Linked DNA regions of Canis lupus familiaris. The protein of the gene in region 2 interacts with the protein of the main gene of each other region in a biochemical or structural test. Links are inferred from orthologs where the notes say so. Each region holds a gene or a part of one and is shown on either strand. Other genes may lie near its edges.

What was found. The genes of interacting proteins can lie anywhere in the genome.
Region 1: the proteins of KLKB1 (region 2) and KNG1 form a complex in vitro, tested with the Homo sapiens proteins (4 studies listed by BioGRID). The link is inferred for Canis lupus familiaris from reciprocal best matches to the Homo sapiens genes KLKB1 and KNG1.

What each region holds. Positions count from the first base shown.
Region 1 is NC_049255.1:19,458,150-19,463,481, reverse strand, and holds the start of KNG1 (kininogen-1), read right to left. Parts: upstream 3,280-5,332; 5' UTR 3,052-3,279; coding exon 2,857-3,051; intron 1-2,856. UniProt on the Homo sapiens protein: Kininogens are inhibitors of thiol proteases.
Region 2 is NC_049237.1:45,418,271-45,423,037, forward strand, and holds the end of KLKB1 (plasma kallikrein), read right to left. Parts: intron 3,742-4,767; coding exon 3,646-3,741; intron 1,587-3,645; coding exon 1,447-1,586; intron 933-1,446; coding exon 750-932; 3' UTR 690-749; downstream 1-689. UniProt on the Homo sapiens protein: Participates in the surface-dependent activation of blood coagulation. Activates, in a reciprocal reaction, coagulation factor XII/F12 after binding to negatively charged surfaces.

The sequences.
Region 1 (5,332 bases), on a different chromosome or scaffold from region 2:
GTCAGAATGACTAGAATCAAAAAGACAAGAAATAAGAAATGTTGATGAGGACATGGAGGAAAAGGAACCCTCTTGCTCTGTGAGTGGGAATATAAATTGGTGCAGCCACCATAAAAAAACAGTATGAAGTTTCCTTAAAAAATTAAAAATAGGGGTGCCTGGGTGGCTCAGTAGGTTAAGTGTCTGCTTATGGCTTGGGTCAAGGTCCAGGGATCCTGGGATTGAGCCCCATGTCGGGGCTCCTCGCTCAATGGAGAGCATGCTTCTCCCTCTCCCCCTGGAGCTTCCCCTGCTTGTGCCCTCTCTCTCTTTTAAAATCTTTTAAAAATTAAAAATAGAAATACCATATGATCCAGCAATCTACTATTGGGTATTTGCCCAAAGAGAACAAAAACGTAATGTGAAAAGATATATGCATCCATATGTTTATTGCAGCATTATTTACAATAGCCAAGATATGGAAGCAACTCCAACATCCATCAATAGATGGATGGATAAAGAAGATATATATATATATATATATATATATATATATATATATATATATACATTTATATATATGTATATATAACTTTCATCCTGTAGGTTCAAGATGAGGTTGTCAGCAGTGAGATAGATACGGTTCTGCGATGTAGCGATCGTCTTAGAGATGTTCTGGGATACCCGGATCTTGTGCAGTTTGATATAGCCAGGGTTATACATATATATATATATATATATATATATATATATATATATATAACACACACACACATATATATGCACAACACATACACATATATATACACACACACATATATATATCCACACACACACACACACACATATATATCTACACACACATATATATATCCATATACACACACATATATATGTCCACACACATATATATATATCCATACACACACACACATATATATCCACATACACACATATCTATATCTATATCTATCTATCTATCTATACACACACACACACATATGGTATGTATAATGGGATATTACATAGCCATACAAAAGAATGAGATCTTGCCATTTATGACAACATGGATGGACTTAGAGGGTATTATGCTAAGGAAAATAAACCAGACAGGGAAAGACAAATACAATATCATTTCACTTATATGTGGAATCTAAAAAAATGAGATAAATAAACAAACAAAAAGCAGAAACAGACTCCTAAATACAGAGAAAAAACTATAGTTGCCAGCGCAGAGGAGGGTGGGGGGATGAGTAAAATGGGTGAAGGGGCATGGGAGATACAGGCCTCCAGGTATGGAATGAGCAAGTCATGGGATTGAGAGGCATAGCACAGGGAATAGAGTCAATGATAACTGTAGTAGTGTTGTATGGTGACAGATGGTAGCTACACTTGTGAGCACAGCATAATATATAGACTTGTCAAATTTCTGTGTTGTATACCTGAACTATAACCTGTAATACTCTGTGTCAACTACAACTATACTTTTTTCCAAAAAAAAAAAAAAAAAAAGTGCAAAGGTGGTAAGTTAGGTGAGCCTTCCAGATATAAAATCCTGACATGTCAAACAGCAAGGGACCAGAGAGGTGAAGACGTCTAGCCCTTCCTTCACTTTGTAGTTGAGAGAAAGGAGGCCCTGAGTAGATGGGCAGGGCTGAGGCAGCCCCCCGCATTTTGGAAAGGCAGAGCTGGCCCCGTATCCCAAGTCTCCTGACTCTCAGAGCCTACTTGCATCACATTATTTGTATCTGGGATGATCATCAAGATAATCTCCCAAGTTTCTTCCAGGTCTCAGATTTTGTTCAAGAACTAGGCAGTGGAGGTATAGATGGTGCCCGTATGGCAAAGCAAAGGTAAAGCGTAATTCTATGGATGTTTTAGAACAAAAAACTACATTTGTCATGGATGTCAGCCAATAAAGAGACCATCAATCAACTGTTACTTGAAAGGACCAGGACCAAATGTCTACATCATTGCACTAGTTTGTGAAACAGAATGGCTCAATTTTACTTTCAGGAAAAAAAAATTATATTCAGTGGGCTTTTTCCTTTACCCTGATCATATCAAATGACTGGACATTTCTCCTCTGCCAAAGTAACAGCTACCAACTATCATAGGCACAGAATTTTAGAGTGAAATTCATTTAAACAAACTACTGTAAGATTCGTATTTTTTGAAATCACACACTGTCAGGATTTGTCTCCAACATGAGTGCATCAATTAGTTATAAAAAATATTAAAAGCCATCTAGAACATCGCTGTTACTCTTGATGCATTCAGCCACACAGACAGTATAATTAACTCTAGTCACCATGCCATATATTAGATCCCCAGGACCTACTCATCTTATAACTCGAAGTTTGTATACTTTGACCAGCGTCCTCCATTTCCCCCAGCCTGAGCCCCTGGCAACCCCATTCTACTTTCTGCTTGGGTGAGTTGGGCTTTTTTAGATTCCATATGTAAACATGATCATATAGTATTTCTTCGACGTGAGCAGCCCCTCCCCTCTGAAGTCTAGAGGTCTTCATATTGTGGTCTACCGCTGGTCACCCAGTAAGTCCTTTTGCTGCGGTCCAGTTGAGTTCCTTGATTCTCCTACTCTGCATAGTTTCTTTCAAATGACCCCATCTACCTTTGTTTCACTGTACCTTGCTTTTCTGATCACCCAGGAAGCCGAGCTTGGTCGCCCAAGGTCTAATCATACCCTGCCCCGCACCCCTGGGGCAAAGAGTGGTGTTGATCTTTTCTATGCACTATAAGCTTCTACCTTTGCTTCTCAGTTCTTTGGTGATTGCTGAGGGGGGCGAGGGGGACTGGGCTCCGCCTGACAGCACGTATCTCGAATGGTCTCAGGGTAAAACACAGCTCACTCACCGTCCTGGTGCCTTCTGTTACACGGTACAACACAAACTGGTTGCCACTTTGGTTTCTACTGTTATATTTCTTTAGCGCAGTGTCCACAGCCTTAAATAGATCCTCATCATTGCAGTCGATTTCTTCTGAGAGGGACTCCTGGGTTAAACTTGGTAGCAGCCTGGAGCAAAGAAAAAGCATAGCAAGTAGTTTCATGGTTTAGCGGTCTCCTTCCAGGAGCTGAGGAAGGGTTTCACCAAGAATCTGGTGCCAACTTGAATGCTGATTTTAGCAATTTCCAGCCCTTTATCTCCTCTGTACTCTTATCTCTCTGCCTCAGTGCTCCGGATCCTGGTGGGTTCCTGCTGCCATACACTATTTGCCCTATTTCCAAAGGCTCTGTTGGGTTATCCAAGCAGATTTCAGGTGGAGACATTACAACACCAGGGTTGTTGACCTGCTTGTTTGCATTCAAGAAGCACGTGGGAGCACAGGGCACATTTCCAGGTGATTGCACAATGCTGTATAACAAATCAGAACAGAAACTAATAAAGGAGGAGGAAAAACCAGCAATCACCTGTTATTCCCTTTCCCAAGTGACTTTCCCAAAGCCCTTTATGAAGGTCACTACATGGGACAACAATGAGTACAACGTACAGATACCTTTCAATCATTTCTTTGCAAGATATCTAGCTGCAGAAAAAACGGGCTGCTACCAATTGCATGGCATGCCTGCGGAGCCCACGCACAGGGACATAGTGCATGGTAGGAGTCCCACACCAGGACACTGGTGCAACTAAAGTTAAAATATGGGCATCCTATATGGTCTCTGGTCAAGTCAGCCTCTCTCCACTCAATTGTATTGATTTTAGAAAAGAAAATGCTCCCCAGGGAGAAGGAGACAGGAGAGAAGCATAAGAAGAGATGATTTGAGTGAAGCCCAGTGTCCCCCATCCTTGCTTCTTGTTTCTGATGTGATGGATTTGGATGTCTACTCACCAAGCCTAAGGAGCCTTTCTGATAAACCCCAAGTTCTGATTCTAGCTCCTCCTGTACTGCACACTGCTACACATTTCCTTCTCTCCCAGCTTTAGCTTCTGTCTCTTTGGGGGCCCCTCTTTTTCTCCAGCCTAACAATTTACCCATATCTTTCTTGGCCTTTGCTTTCTCCCCCTATCTACTGCCCCCATCCCCTGGCCCGGATACACACACACACACACACACACACACACACACAAACACACACTTCTACTTTCTGCCATCACTATGTACCTGCAACTGCTTCGGTAAGTCAGGTAGTGAGCCCAAAGTCTTATTAGCCCTTGTCTAAATGCTTGAGCCCTGATTTGGGAAAAAGGGAAAAGAAAGAGCATTTAATGGTGGAAAAAGACATTTGGCACAAAAACTGAATAAAGAGAAGTTACCCCTTAGCCTGGAGGGAAGATCTGAGAAGAGCAGAGGTCTCTGGGAGGCCTCAAGCAGAGAACACCTCTACCCTGCTTTCTGGCCACGTAGCCGGGAAGGCAGCAAGATCTCACGGAGAGAATAGCCAGGGCAGACATGTTCATTAGTGGCCTTGCAGAGGCTCTGATAGCTTCACTGTGACTCAGGAGTAGCTGATAAACTAGACCCAAAGAAGGATGTGCATGGGGTTGTAAGCATCTCCCAGCAGGAGAGAGCTAGTGGACCAGTGATGAAGAGTCAGACCTCCCCTTCATGCCCACCACCCAAACACTTGGCACGACATGAAATTCTAGAATGGTGGCACAACTTTTCACGGGGAGTAGCAGGTGAGGGAGCTCCAAGGACTGAGGTTAAGTCTCCTATTAACCTACTAGGATGGCAACCTGAAATGGAAACTAATTTTTTTTTTCTGAAAATAGAGTGATATTTCTTGTGCACCTGAAATTATCATCACGATTCATACCTGCGGTATTCCTTGCAATTCATAGCCCAAGCCTTTATTGCCTCATAATTGAATTTGGAACTTATTTTTTTTTTCAAAAGGAAATTTAGAGATCTAGAAATAATAAGAGAGAATTTGAATATTTTTTTAAAAGATTTTATTTATTTATTTATTCATGAGAGACACACAGAGAGAGAGAGAGAGAGACAGGCAGAGGGAGAAGCAGGCTCCATGCAGGGAGCCCAACCTGGGACTCGATCCGGGGACTCTAGGATCACACCCTGAGCCAAAGGCAGGCACTCAACCACTGAGCCACCCAGGGATCCCGAGAATTTGAATTTTGTGTTAGAAGAATAGTCCTTTGACTGCTAAAACATGCCTTCTTGGTATGCCCAGCTACAGTGAAAGTACTCAGTGAGGAAAGACTCTAGAATTAGAGTTAAATCCATGAAAGAAAGAGGGTCAGAGATCTGCGGCAAGGATTTAGTGATCTGTCACTGACTTGCAGCACTGACATATTTCCTCTCCATTCGTCTCTCTCTTCTCATGCCATCTCCTCCCCCACCCACGTTTGCTTACTCTGAATATAAA
Region 2 (4,767 bases):
CTGCACCCCACAGAGCAGACTCCTTGCCCTCCGTGAAGGCTGTGTGGTGTGCCTATGGCAGGAGCTGCAGCCCCGCAGACCTCTCCTGCACACCCAGCCAGGGGCCTTGTGCCAACGCCAGCTAACAAGGTAGGAGGCCAACATCAAAAGGTGCACCACTATTCTCCAAGGTTCAGAAAACACATCTCTTTCTTGGAAAAGTTAATATTCTACAGTTGGCAGAACAAGACCCAAGCTTACTGGCTCTTTGCCCCAAGTGAGGCAGGCAGTGGTAGGTTTTGATGACCATGCAGGCGACGAAAAGAGAAGAGATTACTGTCCCTAAGATATATATCGAGATCCAGAGGAGGCAGTCAGAGAAGAGCGAGGCCAGCACAAGCACGGTGCTAGAATCTGGAGTTACTTACCTTTCATTCTGTCTCACAATCAGAAGAACACACTTTTGAGTCACATTCTTTTGCCATTTTATTTTGCAACAAATAATTGCGGAAATGTTCACTTGTTATCTTCCATTATTAGCATTTTTACTGGAGGCTGACAGCCTGCCTCTGCACAACATTTTCCTCAGCAGCTTTGTGTGCACTGTCTCCTTTTACCCTTATGACAAGGACATGAAGCAGATACTATTCTCCACAATTTTGCAGACGAAGACTCCAAGGCTTAGCATTTGAGCTGGACCCAGGTTGTAAAATTCATGCTACAACCCGGGCTCTTTCCCATCTCTAGAAAGCTTCTTCGCACTGGTGACTTCATCCAAGACCGGCGTGCCCATCACCAACCTGTGTTTTCTCTAAAATCCAGTCCACATACTCAGCCACTTTGGTGTAGACACCTGGTTGTTCTCTGCGGCCACAGCCTTCACCCCAACTGGTGATGCCCACCAAATGCCAGTTTCCGTTGTGTTTACAAACTAAGGGACCACCTGAATCTCCCTGTGTCACAGTGAGTGGAAAAATGAAATAATACAAAGTATGACAGTTGTGCCTTTAAAATTCTGTAGTCACACCACACACAACACGTACATACAGTTCCTTATAGTTCTTTGGGTATCTTGCCTTCCTCATTCCTCTGGATGTGACGAAAATAAGTGAATTCAATACGTATGGTTGCATTTTCTATTTATTCCAAAAAGGACATGTTGATATCAGAATCTCAATGTCAAGTAAATCTAATGCTCTAATATTTTAGTACAGCTATTTTATGTACCATGGTGCTCCCTTATATATAGTATGCCTCTGCACAGATTATAATAGAATAAACATTTACACACACACACACACACATATATATTCAGTTCATCAAAGGTTACTTTTGAAATTGTCAGATTATTTGGCTCCAATTTTTTAAAGAAAAATACAATGAAATGTACTATGGAGAATATATTTTGTAGTTGATTTTTCTCAAGTAGACTACTGTGTGTTTTTTTTTCATCACTGAGTGTATTACCTTGCAGGCATCTTTCCCTCCTTCTTTATAGCCAGCACAGATCATCTGTTTGTTTACTTCATAATCTCTATATTTTTTCTGGCATTCTTCATTTGGTACCAAAGGAATATTTGCCTTTTGTAGGCTATTTTGGATTTCCCCTGTGAGGTAATCAATATAAAACTTCAGAAGGAGGAAATACGATGAGTCTGAAACTACTAATGTCTTAAAGCAAATCAGTGTTATGAACCTTTCATTTAGGTAATTTCTTTAGGTAAAAATAGTAAAGGGTGAAAAAGTAGAGTTAATCACACCAACAGAGAGACACACAGAGAGAAAAGCAAAAAGAAATTGATAAACAGAGAGCTCCATGTACTGGCCTCTGATGTCAATGTTAGGACAACCCCAGCACCCCAAGGCTGACCAGATTCCCTGCCAACCTCTCATCCCAATAGAAATCTCTCAGAAATTCCCTCTTATCACCTCCAACCCCAAAGCTGGAAATTCTTATCTTTCAGTTTTTGTTTTATATATTCAACATGATCATTTAAAAACATGTGATGTTGGGGGGGGAACTCACCATATGCTCAGAAGAGTATTTTGTTTTTTAACTATGCAAATATTTTCCACGAAGAACGATTTATTCACAAATAATTACATTTCTGCCCGTGTCCAGGTTCCCCTGGAACATATGTTGGGAGCTCTCCTTTCTTAGTTAAGGTTACTCTTAAAATTTCTTTCTGCCTTAAGGTACCAGTCAAACATTTAGAAAATTTGAATTCACTGAATAAAGGACTAAGTCAGGAAAGAAGGAAAGATCTTGATGAGCTTAAATATGTAAAGAATGTGCAAATTTTATTCCTATAGTGTCTATCAAGAACAAAACTTTGGAAAGCGAGAAAAGTCTGTTTCATGGGAAATCCAAGGACAATTTAAAAACACCAACTACCCGTGAGCAGGGCTTCTTAAACTGGCGTCCACAGAAAGAATTCACTTGCTCTATACACTTGGATAGGAAAATACATCCTTATTTTCACCAATCTCCAACTGAAGTCTAACACTACCTTCAGCTATGAGTGCAGGCAATAAAAATGGGAGTGTTAGTAGGATGGCTTTGCCATTAGTCAAGAGCACAGATATTTTTCATCACACTTGTGATAGTTTCATGTGACAGCTGTGGCTGATATTATGGTAGTTACTTGAAAAACTTACTATTTAATATATTAAAGAAACTCATGCATTCCCGTATTGCATCTTTTTGAAAGTATTTTGATAACTCTATTGCAATTTCACTTGTTTCCTTCATATGTCTATATGTGCTTTTTAAGTATTTAAAAGCACCACGGCAGGGGTGCCTGGGTGGCTCAATGGTTGAGGGTCTGCCTTTGGCTCAGGTCATGATCCTGAAGTCCTGAGATCGAGTCCCACATGGGGTTCCCCGTGGGGAGCCTGCTTCTCCCTCTGCCTATGTATCTGCCTCTCTCTATGTGTCTCTTATGAATAAATAAATAAAATCTTTTAAAAAATAAAAAAATAAAAGCACCATTACAAAAGTGGCTCATAGGCTTCATCAGATTACAGGAAGGATGCATGAAACAACAATAACAACACAAAAAACATTTAGAGCCTTCCAGAAAAAGATGGTGTGCCTGCCTCTACTCCTGACCCTTAGTATAAAGGCAAAATAATGGCACTGAGAGATGGAAACACTATTAGTAGTGAGGACAGGATAGGCTTGAGTGGTCTTATTAGCCCCATATGGGACAAATCCTTTATCCCATAGTCAAACAAGTGAACTTTATTATTAAGTAAGATTCTTAAGAGGTTACCTCATAAATTTTTCCAGATCCAAAGAAAAATACATCTTCTCAAGAATCAGTGAGTAAATATTTGAGAATGAATAGATTGGAATGGTGATGAGTTTGGATAAAATTTCAGACAGAGGCCAGTTAAACTGATTCACTCTGTGTACCTTAAGGTAAAAGACTTGTTTTAAGAACAACATTTAAAATATCATGCTGGGGGCGCCTGGGTGGCTCAGCAGTTGAGCATCTGCCTTAGGCTCGGGGAATGATCCTGGATTCCTGGGATCGAATTCCCACATGGGGCTCTCGGCATGCAGCCCGCTTCTCCCTCTGCCTGTGTCTCTGCCTCTCTCTCTCTCTGTGTGTCTCTCATGAATAAATAAATAAAATCTTAAAAAAATATATCATGCTGTACCTCTTTCTTTTGTGAAGCCCCATCCAGTTACCCAGCAATTAGTATAAGTTGTATTTGTATCATCTTTGGAAGGGAGGCATATTGGTTTTTGGAATTCTGAAAGGTAATTTTTAGATTAGAGTTTGATTAAACAAAGTTATAGGTATTGACTGTAAAAATACACAACTTCCTTTTTCCATATTCTCTTTCTCTAGCGTACTACCATGAAAAAATGACCCTTTTGCTTTCTATTTGATTGCTAAGGCCAATGATTCAAGAAAATTTCTCATTATCAGACTCATTTTCACATGACATTTTTGGTGCCAAATTTTCTCAATTAAATCTTAAACTCAGAACATGTATTTCTGTCAAAAGCATTTAGAAGTATTTTACTCTGTGTATGTTACTTTCTTTTTTTTTTTTTAATTTATTTTTTTATTGGTGTTCAATTTACTAACATACAGAATAACACCCAGTGCCCGTCACCCATTCACTCCCACCCCCCGCCCTCCTCCCCTTCTACCACCCCTAGTTCGTTTCCCAGAGTTAGCAGTCTTTACGTTCTGTCTCCCTTTCTGATACTTTCAATAGTAATAACAGTGTCTCCACTGTTTGAAGCACTATTTTACGTGCTTTAACTTACTAATTAGCAATTTTTATGACACACCAACAGGTGACTATCATGCTCATTTTACAGATGCAGAAATTCGAGGTACAAAGAGGTAAAAGCAACTTGACCAAGGTCACGTAATCATTCCTGGACACAGAGGGTATTCACCAACTGTGGAGCATTGTGCCACGGAGGCCACACTTCCCACCACCACACTACCAGCTTCCCAGAGCTTCCTTCCACTCAAGTTAGACCTGGGAATTAGCATCTGGCCCTACTAGTCTTCATATATTCCTAACATGCCCAAAGCCACAGTCATCGTGCTACTCTTGCCAAAGGGAGCCATGCTTCCTAAACAGCCAAGACATTTCCCATGTGTATTATTTCAATAATGCATATGCACCTGGATTCCTACCTGAAGAGACCAATTTCTACTTCTTATCCCTTAAATAGAAGAGATTTATCCAAGTCACAGGTGTTGTCTCCCTTGGCAATTCCTCAACTCGCTCCCAACTCCATCAACCAGAAACTAA